Linked DNA regions of Cricetulus griseus. The protein of the gene in region 1 purifies or fractionates together with the protein of each later gene. This does not show direct contact. Links are inferred from orthologs where the notes say so. Each region holds a gene or a part of one and is shown on either strand. Other genes may lie near its edges. The genes, in order: S100a4 and Ppfibp1.

Evidence for each region.
Region 2: the proteins of S100a4 (region 1) and Ppfibp1 purify together in Homo sapiens (co-immunoprecipitation; 3 studies listed by BioGRID and IntAct, with this or other methods). This does not show direct contact. The link is inferred for Cricetulus griseus from reciprocal best matches to the Homo sapiens genes S100A4 and PPFIBP1.

What each region holds. Positions count from the first base shown.
Region 1 is NW_023276806.1:63,942,284-63,946,603, forward strand, and holds S100a4 (protein S100-A4), read right to left. Parts: upstream 2,955-4,320; 5' UTR 2,798-2,954; intron 1,758-2,797; exon of another isoform or gene 1,697-1,757; intron 1,561-1,696; 5' UTR 1,546-1,560; coding exon 1,405-1,545; intron 781-1,404; coding exon 616-780; downstream 1-615. UniProt on the Homo sapiens protein: Calcium-binding protein that plays a role in various cellular processes including motility, angiogenesis, cell differentiation, apoptosis, and autophagy.
Region 2 is NC_048601.1:2,822,869-2,827,220, forward strand, and holds the start of Ppfibp1 (liprin-beta-1), read right to left. Parts: upstream 2,883-4,352; 5' UTR 2,688-2,882; intron 1-2,687. UniProt on the Homo sapiens protein: May regulate the disassembly of focal adhesions. Did not bind receptor-like tyrosine phosphatases type 2A.

The DNA.
Region 1 (4,320 bases):
ACTATAAATGTCAGGGATGGGTGCCAGTCCACCTCCCCATCCTTCTGGACTCCTTCCTTGTGACTCAGGCCCGTTGTCTTCCCTCCAGACTCCAACCAGCAACAGATGTGACCTTCAATCCCATCCCAACTTCAGTTTGAGCCCAGAGGCAGATCTGGAGAGAGAAAGGAGGGTGGTGGACTGGCTAACTTCCCACATCTGGAGCCTTTCAAGCCAAGCCTCTGGTGGCTTCTGCCTTAAGTATTCCCAAAGTTTTCTTTGTTGCACGTATGTGCGCGCACACACACACACACACACACACACACACTTGCATGCTAGTTAAATCAGCCACTCAACCCCTACCCAACCCTTTCTAGTTTTGTTCCCTCAAGGCTCAACTCCCAGCTCAACTCCCCGCAGTCCCCACCACTACCCTGTGATATACCCTCCCTCAACACCCAACCCACAATCTCCAGTCTCTTAGGCAACAGCACATAGTTTCAAGACTCTTTATTGAACTCGCTCAGCATTGTGCATATGTATGAAGAAGCCAGAGTAAGGCACTATGCTCAGAGCCAAAAGGGAAGAGCCCCCTCCTCCCGAAGACCACGCCCCCACACTTCATCTGCAGAGTCTTCACTTCTTCCGGGGCTGTTTATCTGGGCAGCCTTCAAAGAATTCATTGCACATCATGGCAATGCAGGACAGGAAGACGCAGTACTCCTGGAAGTCTACTTCGTTATCCCTGTTGCTGTCCAGGTTGCTCATCAGCTTCTGGAATCCTGCTTCATCTCTCTTTTTCTGGGAGTAGAAGAAGAACAGTTAGAAGCCAGACCCAAGCTAGATCTCTGCCTCCAGCCAGGTGTTCAGGAACACCTGAGTGCCTCTGGGCACTCAGGAAGCCTTGGGACTAAGCTATGTAGAGGAGGATGTGCCCTAGATGCGGGCACTTGAGGTAGCTGGGAACGGGGAGGACCACATCTTCTCCTTGTTTGCTTTAATTATCTCATTAGGTAGCAGCCATGGCAGTGATGCATTAAATTAACTAATGCAAGGTGTTATTGAGGAGAGACTCTGCAGGTGTTTGTGTGCCTCCACCATCGTGTCTTCACAAACAGAAACTCAATTTCTCTTGCCAACAGTCCTGATCTAGCCTGCAGTTCAGACACTGACTATGTTAGGCAGTTGTTTTGCTTTTTCTCTGTCTCTTCGGTTGTGTTCATTCTAAGCCTTCTCTCAGCTGAGGGCTAATGAGGGATAGATGGTTCACTGTGGTTCCACACCAAGCACCCGGAGCAAGCTCTCCAACCTCCATTTCCCCACCTTAGAGATATACGCCAACTGTAGCTAGGCACTACCTACCAGAGTCCCAACCTCCTCCTGGGGATGCACCACACATGAAATACACAGGCAGGACCCACTCACCCCCAAAAAGCTAGGCAGCTCCCTGGTCAGCAGCTCCTTCAGCTCAGACTTGTTGAGCTTGAACTTATCACCCTCTTTGCCTGAGTATTTGTGGAAGGTAGACACCATCATATCCAGGGCCTCTTCTAAGGGGTATTCCATGGTGACAGTTGAGAGCTAGGGGCAGGAGACACAAAGGTAGCCTTACCCAACCCACACCAACAGTGTATCAAGAACTGGCTATGTGGCACTGCTCATCACCCAAGTCATAGACTCATTCTGCCCCCATTTTAAATGCTCCATTCCAACCTACCCTCTAGGAACACTTCAGGAGACTGTCCTCATTCCCAGAGAGATCAGAGGAGTGGGACCCACTAATGGCAAGATGGTCGTGTATGCTTTGGGCTCTGAAACATGCAGAGCCTACCATACAATCTCTGGAGATTCGTGCCAGCAGCTTTTGGGCTGACTGTCCTCGGGCCTGGCCTCAACAACAGCAGTTTTCCGTCCTTGCTCAGCTCAACCACAAGCACCAGGCTCTGGCCCGTTCTTCCCCCTCCCAGCATTGGGCGCGGCTGCTGGCTGCCTGCCCATGGGCCCACAGCGGAAAAAACCCAGCTGCCTATTGACCAGCTTAGTGAGGAGTGAGATGAGGTGGCAGAGGTAGGGGCACAAGGGGAGGGTGGGGAAGCCAGGCTCTCTTGACCTGGGGTGCTGGATGTCCATAAGGCACTAATATGAACACAGAAGTCTACAGGTGAGTGCTGGAGTGGTAGCCTGTAAGTAGAGGTGCCTGCCACTAAGCTTGATGGCCTGAGTTTGATCCCCAGAGCCCATGGTAGAAGGAGCAGACTGACTCCCTCCCACAAGTTGCCCTCTTACCTCCACAAGTGCACCTTGGCATGAGCCCCCCATCCCCAACCCACGCATGCATGCACACAAATAAATAACTGAAGTTTAAACGTTAAGAAGAAAGCCTACATGTTCCCTCACTTTGCTTCCTGCACCTGCTTTCCCGCACACACTGGCTTGAATGACCCAGCAAACACCCATCAGGGTACCTATCCATGGCTCCCAAACACAGATGTACACTGTAGCAACAACACGTGTAAGCCTCAGCATCTTAGAAATCTTGAGAGCTCAAATGGCATCTATACACCTTTTTGTTGCTGTTTTCATTCTTGTGCAACACACACAGACACACACAGACACACAGACACACAGACACACAGACACACACACACACACACACACACACACACACACACACACACACACACACACACAGCCTCCACATCAGAATCTCTCATCTGGATCTAGTAAAAACATCTGTCTCCCCAGAAGCCTCCCTTTCTCCTGTCCCAGCCTCAGCCTCTGACACCACTAATACTGCTATGAAGCCAACACAACTCACCAGACCCAGAGAGAGGAAGTGCTGAACAGAGAGGTTTGGGGAAAGCTCAAATGTCTGCCCTATTTATACTCTGCTGGGCCCTGCCCATGCAGGGGATGGGGGGAGCTTGGATACTATGTTCCTACTGTTGGCTGATGTAGTAAATGTCACAGGCCCCTCCACCAGCCCAACCTGAGAACCAAGCTTCCTACTACCCAGCAGGCACAGGCGAGCATTGAGTAAGCCCCAGTGGACACGAGAGACCTGAATGGTGTGGATACCACCCAGTAGCCACAGCTCAGCCAACTTTTAAGGAAGCTTTGAGAAGGGGCAACATGGGCATGGGATGTGGGCCACAGGAAAGAAGATGGGGAGGTGATGGGCAAGAGGGGAATATGGAAATGTATGGCCCAGGAATTGGGGAGGTGACCCCGGCCAGTGGGACAGTCAGCCCTTCTCTCCAGCCTAAACAGCTCTCTGTCACGCTCAGTAAGACCCAGAGTGAAGACTGGCAAGTCGGGAGGGGCCTTGGTACCACCCTAGGTATTAAGTGGGAAACGCCTAAGAGGGCGTGATGGAGTTAGGGCAGTAATGAGGCCTCGAGGTTCATGAATGGGTAGAAGGTCCAGGGAGGGTATTGGGGCTGATGGGAGCATTCAGGTTTGAACACTCAGCTTGGAGAAGAGAGTTACAGGAGAAACAGGTAAAATGGGGAGTCAGGATTAATCTCTAAGGATGGGGTACAAATACGGGGATTGAGCAATGGTCAGAAATGGGAACTTGGGACCCTCAGGGGCTGTGGTTTCAGAGATGAGGACTGACTCAAAGTATCCCTTTCCCCTTGCAGTAAATACAGAGGCTCCCTCCCTGGCTGGCAGCAAATACCTCAGAGGCCCCAATCCTATTGCTACTGCTCTCTGGTTTCCCACAGCTATGCCACACCCATACCCACATACCTCGATGCTCTAATCACAAGTACTGAGTTTCTCCCAAGGAGCCTCTTGCCCTCCTAGAAAGCCCAAAACAAGGGCTTCCACCTCAAGACAGGGGACAGAGAGATGGAGACAAAGACCCCCAGCCTCACCTGATGGGGACTTGTAATGGCCCCACCTTCCTACTGAATACTGAGACTTATGCATTCCTATGGGGTCTGGAACTGCCTTTAGGGCCCCTGCCTTCAGCTGCCTTCCTCCAGCGATATGGAACATAGAGGGGTAAAGACTCCCAAGGACTCAGTCCCAAAATCCAGTGTGTCCCATCAGAAGAACCAAACCAAGCCAAGCTGACATTTCTTTATTAGGAGTTGAGCAGGCCCCTGCCACAGTGTGCACATGGCTGAGCCTCCAAAGTGAGAGAGCAAATGTTCTCCCTTCCAAGAAGAGAAGCTACTGTTCCACCCCTCACTACTTTGACATCCCTAGGAAAGCTTCTACTGTGCATGAGTAGCCAGGGTTAGCACATCAGGGACCTGGCAAGCCCCGACTGAAAGGATACCACAGAGAGGGTAGGAAGGGTGTGGCTACACACTCAGGATCACCTCAGGG
Region 2 (4,352 bases), on another chromosome or scaffold:
ACTGTAACTGTTATTACTCAAAAAAGTTGTTTTAAAACTTGTCAATAACTAACACACACACACACACACACACACACACACACATACATGCTAAAGATACTTACTGCTTAATTTGCATGGTTTTGGAGGTTCCGTCTTTCAGCTGCAGGATGCCGTTATCAACCAAGGCTACACAGTGCTCACCTTAGTGTCCACAAGGAACTCCACTTTTTTCTTTTCTAATAAAAGTCCACTAGAAAATGCAGTATGTTTTATATACATTCACTGAACATAAGTACCAAAATTTTGCCTAATATGATTGCTCAGCCATTAGCTATTCCTATGCTTAATTCAAAAACACAAACCAAAATTAAAAGGTTCTATTCCTGTAAAGCATATACTACTTACTCCCTTTCCAAAAGCCCTGTTCTCGCTGGGTATGACAGCGTGCGTGCGCACACGCACACCACACACACACACACACACACACACACACACACACGCACGCACGCACGCACGCACGCGCACGCACGCACGCACGCACGCACGCAACGCACGCACACACACACACACACACACACACACACACACACACCACACCACACACACACACACACACACACCACACACACACACACCACACACACACCACACACACCACACACACACACACACACACACACCACACACACACACACACACACACACACCACACACACACACACACACACACACACACACAACACACACACACACACACACACACACACACACACACACGTAAAGACAATGGGGGCAAGAGGATCAAAAGTTCAGGCTTGGAGATGGCTCAGCGGTTAAGAACACTGGCAGCTCTTCCAGGGGTCCTGAGTTCAATTCCTAGCACCCACAAGGCAGCTCACACCTGTCTGTAACTCAAGTTCCAGGGGATTGACTCCTTTACAAAGACATGTGTGTCAACACCAATGCACATAAAAAGTACAACTTAAAAAAAAAAAAAAAAGGAAGATCAAAAGTTCAAGGCCAGCCTGGGCTACATGGTGAGAGCCTGTCTCAAAGAAGACAGAGGGCAGTGGTGAGATCCTGGCCAAAAGGCTGCTCTTCTCACACCCTGTGCTGTCTCATCATCTGAAGAACCGACAGCAATACGGATACAAACCAGGCTGTTTGGAAAACACAGCAAAGGAAACACAAATGTCCTGTCCAGGTTTGGCGGTTTGGCTATAGAGACATCTTTTAAATTCCATCTTTAAAACCCTCTCTCCCCACACACACTTCCCAACTTGGGTTTTCTAAACGAAATGTAATGTTATGACTTTATTTCCCCAGCCCCTGGAAATGCCCTTTAGGTCAGAGTCTGGGATGCAGCTTTTGACTAACAATGAAGTCCACTCCTACTTCCTCCAGACCTGGCTACCAGAGACTCCTCACTGCTGAGGAACTGCTTGCTGCCCCAAAGGGGAAACTGGCTCCACTCAGAAGTCTCAGCTATGCGCTTTCTTATTCTTGCTCTAAAAGAGCCCTGAACCGCTGATAGAGCCAGGGTTAGAATCAGTGTCTTCAGAACTAATCCCACCCCCCAGAAAGTCAATCACACTCAGTGACCCGTGCACAGAAAATCTCCAAGCAAGAAAAGGGGTTTGAAACAAGAAATAAGAATCAGAACCCTACCAACAGGAAAGCAAAGACAATTGCTTTCTCTAGTTAACAGATTTTTTGACTTCCCTTTGCATTGCTCTCAATTCTTTCACTTAAACGACATGCTGTAGTGGGTAAGGGAACTGGGAAAATATAACTATTTTCTATTTATTTTCTGGGGATGGTGATTCACAAAAATATCTGTAGTGTTTTTAAATATTCTTCACTCCTATCCCCACCCACACATGCACTTCCCTGATGGTTCTGTCACAGAGTAGGAGACTGTGCTCAAGCACACATCTCTGATGGCACTCTCTCAAAGGCAGAGAAACTGAGACCCAGGGGCTGGAGTTCTGTGGTATTATATAGGGAATCCCGGGTTCCGCTGCAGTTCTCTGACTGGAATCTGTGGAATATTAGAGGGAGTCCAGGGTTCAGGGTCCCACTCCAGTTCCCTGACTGGAGTCTGGTGTGGGGAGATCCTGGGGTGTGAGGACCCACACGCACTTCCCTGATTGGAGTTCTGTGGAATCAAGAGTCTGTGGTGTGGTGGGGAGGGGAATCTGAGTTGTGAGATGGGGCGCATACTTCCCAGGCTGAGTGAGTCTGTGGTGTGGTAGGGAGCCCATGATGTAAGACTATGCACACTTCTCTGACTGGAGTTCTGTGGTATTTAATAGTCTGGGGTGTTCGAGTCCCAGCACACTGCCCTGACTGGAGTCTGTGGAGTGGAGGGGGAGCCCGGGTGTGAGCTGGGAGCACACTGCCCTGACTGGAGTCTGTGGAGTGGAGGGGGGAGTCCGGGTGTGAGCTGGGAGCACACTGCCCTGACTGGAGCCTGTGGCGTGGAGGGGAGTCCGGGTGTGAGCTGGGAGCACACTGCCCTGACTGGAGCCTGTGGCGTGGAGGGGAGTCCGGGTGTGAGCTGGGAGCACACTGCCCTGACTGGAGTTGTGTGCAGTCGGGGTGCGTGGGCCGCAGACCCAGGCGAGCCCTCCCTGTCACCCCGGGGAGCGGGGGTCCCCCGGGCGGCGAGCGCGGGTCGCAGAGGGAGCCGCCCGCGGGCTTACCTGAGGCGCAGGGCCGCCGAGCTCCACAAGTTGCCGTCCCGCCTCCCGGCGCCGGCGCGGCTGCCAGATCGCTGCTCCCGCGGCGGTCGCCCCGCGCCCTAGGCGGCGACAGGAGCCCGGGCCAGAGCACAGCGCCCGGCTGACATCACCGCCGCCCAGGTGCCGCCTCCGCCGGTCCTCCGAGGCCCGCCCGCCTGCCTGCTCGCCCGCTCGCTCGCCCGCCCGTCGCTCCGCCCCGCCCCGCCCCGTAGCCCCGCCCCCGGCTGGAGCCAGTCCCGCCCCGGCGGGAACCAGCCCCGGGGGGCGCAAGGGGCGGGGCCTCGCGCCTGCGGCGCGCTGATTGGCCCGGCGCGCCGTCACTCACTCCCAGGCGTCGCCGCCGGGGCTCCCACATTCCTGGCGGAGCCGCGCCGTGAGTGGGCGTCGGTGAGGATCGCGGGTGCCCGGACTGCGGTACCCCGGGCGCCGATCAAGAGCGGCGGGGAGCCTGGGCCGCCGCTGCCCCCGGATGGGAAGCGACGCTCACCCCGAGGGCCCCCTCCCTTTTGCGGCAAAGCCGCCGCGGACGGGGCGGACGGGAGCCCCGCGGATACAGCCGAGGCCTTGCTGGCCTCCCGCCCTGCAGCGCCGCCCCGGGAGGGGAAACGGAGGGTTTGCAGAACCTGGAGGACAGGACAGGGTCCCGGACGCCGCCTCCCTCACCTCTGCATGGTCACCTGGCGGCGCCCAACCACGTGGCTGCTTTTGCAAAATAACAAATATATAAGTAAAGTAATAAAACCTCACACACCACGAGAGCCCTCGCAAGTAAGACGGACTCTGCAGAGGGGGCGGAAATGCCACTGTTTGCTTTTTGTTTGGAGGATGGGGTCTCCACATCCCTAGGCTGATCTTGAACTCGTCAGCCTCCCGCGCGGGCCTTCCTGGGAGCCGCGCTTGCAGGCACACACTACCAACCCCAGCACTAACCCGTTTTTTAAAAGATTTATTTTTGCTGTTTGTTTTTGCTTTTTGTTGTTTTCCTCAAGAAGAGTTTCTCTTGTGTTTCTGTCCTGAAACTCCCTCTGTAGACCAAGGACAGAGATCCGTCTGCCTCTACCTTCCTGAGTGCTGGGCTGGGATTAAAGACAGGGGCCACCACACCACCAGGCTATTTTTTTTTTTAATTATATGTATGTACGTGTGTGTGCCCACGGAGGATGGAAGCACTGGCTTCCACTGGCAGTTACTGGCGTTGGAGTTAATGGACTGGCAGCTATGAAGTAAGAGCTGGGAACTGAACTGTTTCTGAAAAAAAAAAAAAAAGGAGAGAGAGAGAGAGAGATCAGAAGGGCTTAACTGTTGGGCCATCTCTGCAGCCCCTGCCCTAAACTTTCAAGTACCATAAGGTTGCTGTTGGTGCACAGCTGAAAGGGGACAGCCCTCACAACTGAGTTCAAACCACATGATAATTACTGTTGAGCCAACTGCAGTGACTGAGCTAACAATTAAGAATTAACTACTATTTACTCTCCGGTGGATAGCAGCGGTATAATAATCCTCCTGGCTGCGAAGTCAGGAAGGTTCTCAGGAACCCTTCTTTCAGGCCCTGTCCCATGTCTCTTCCCTTATCCCCCCCCCCCCCCGCCTGCCCCCCTCCCGACCCAGGACCGAATGGAATGATGA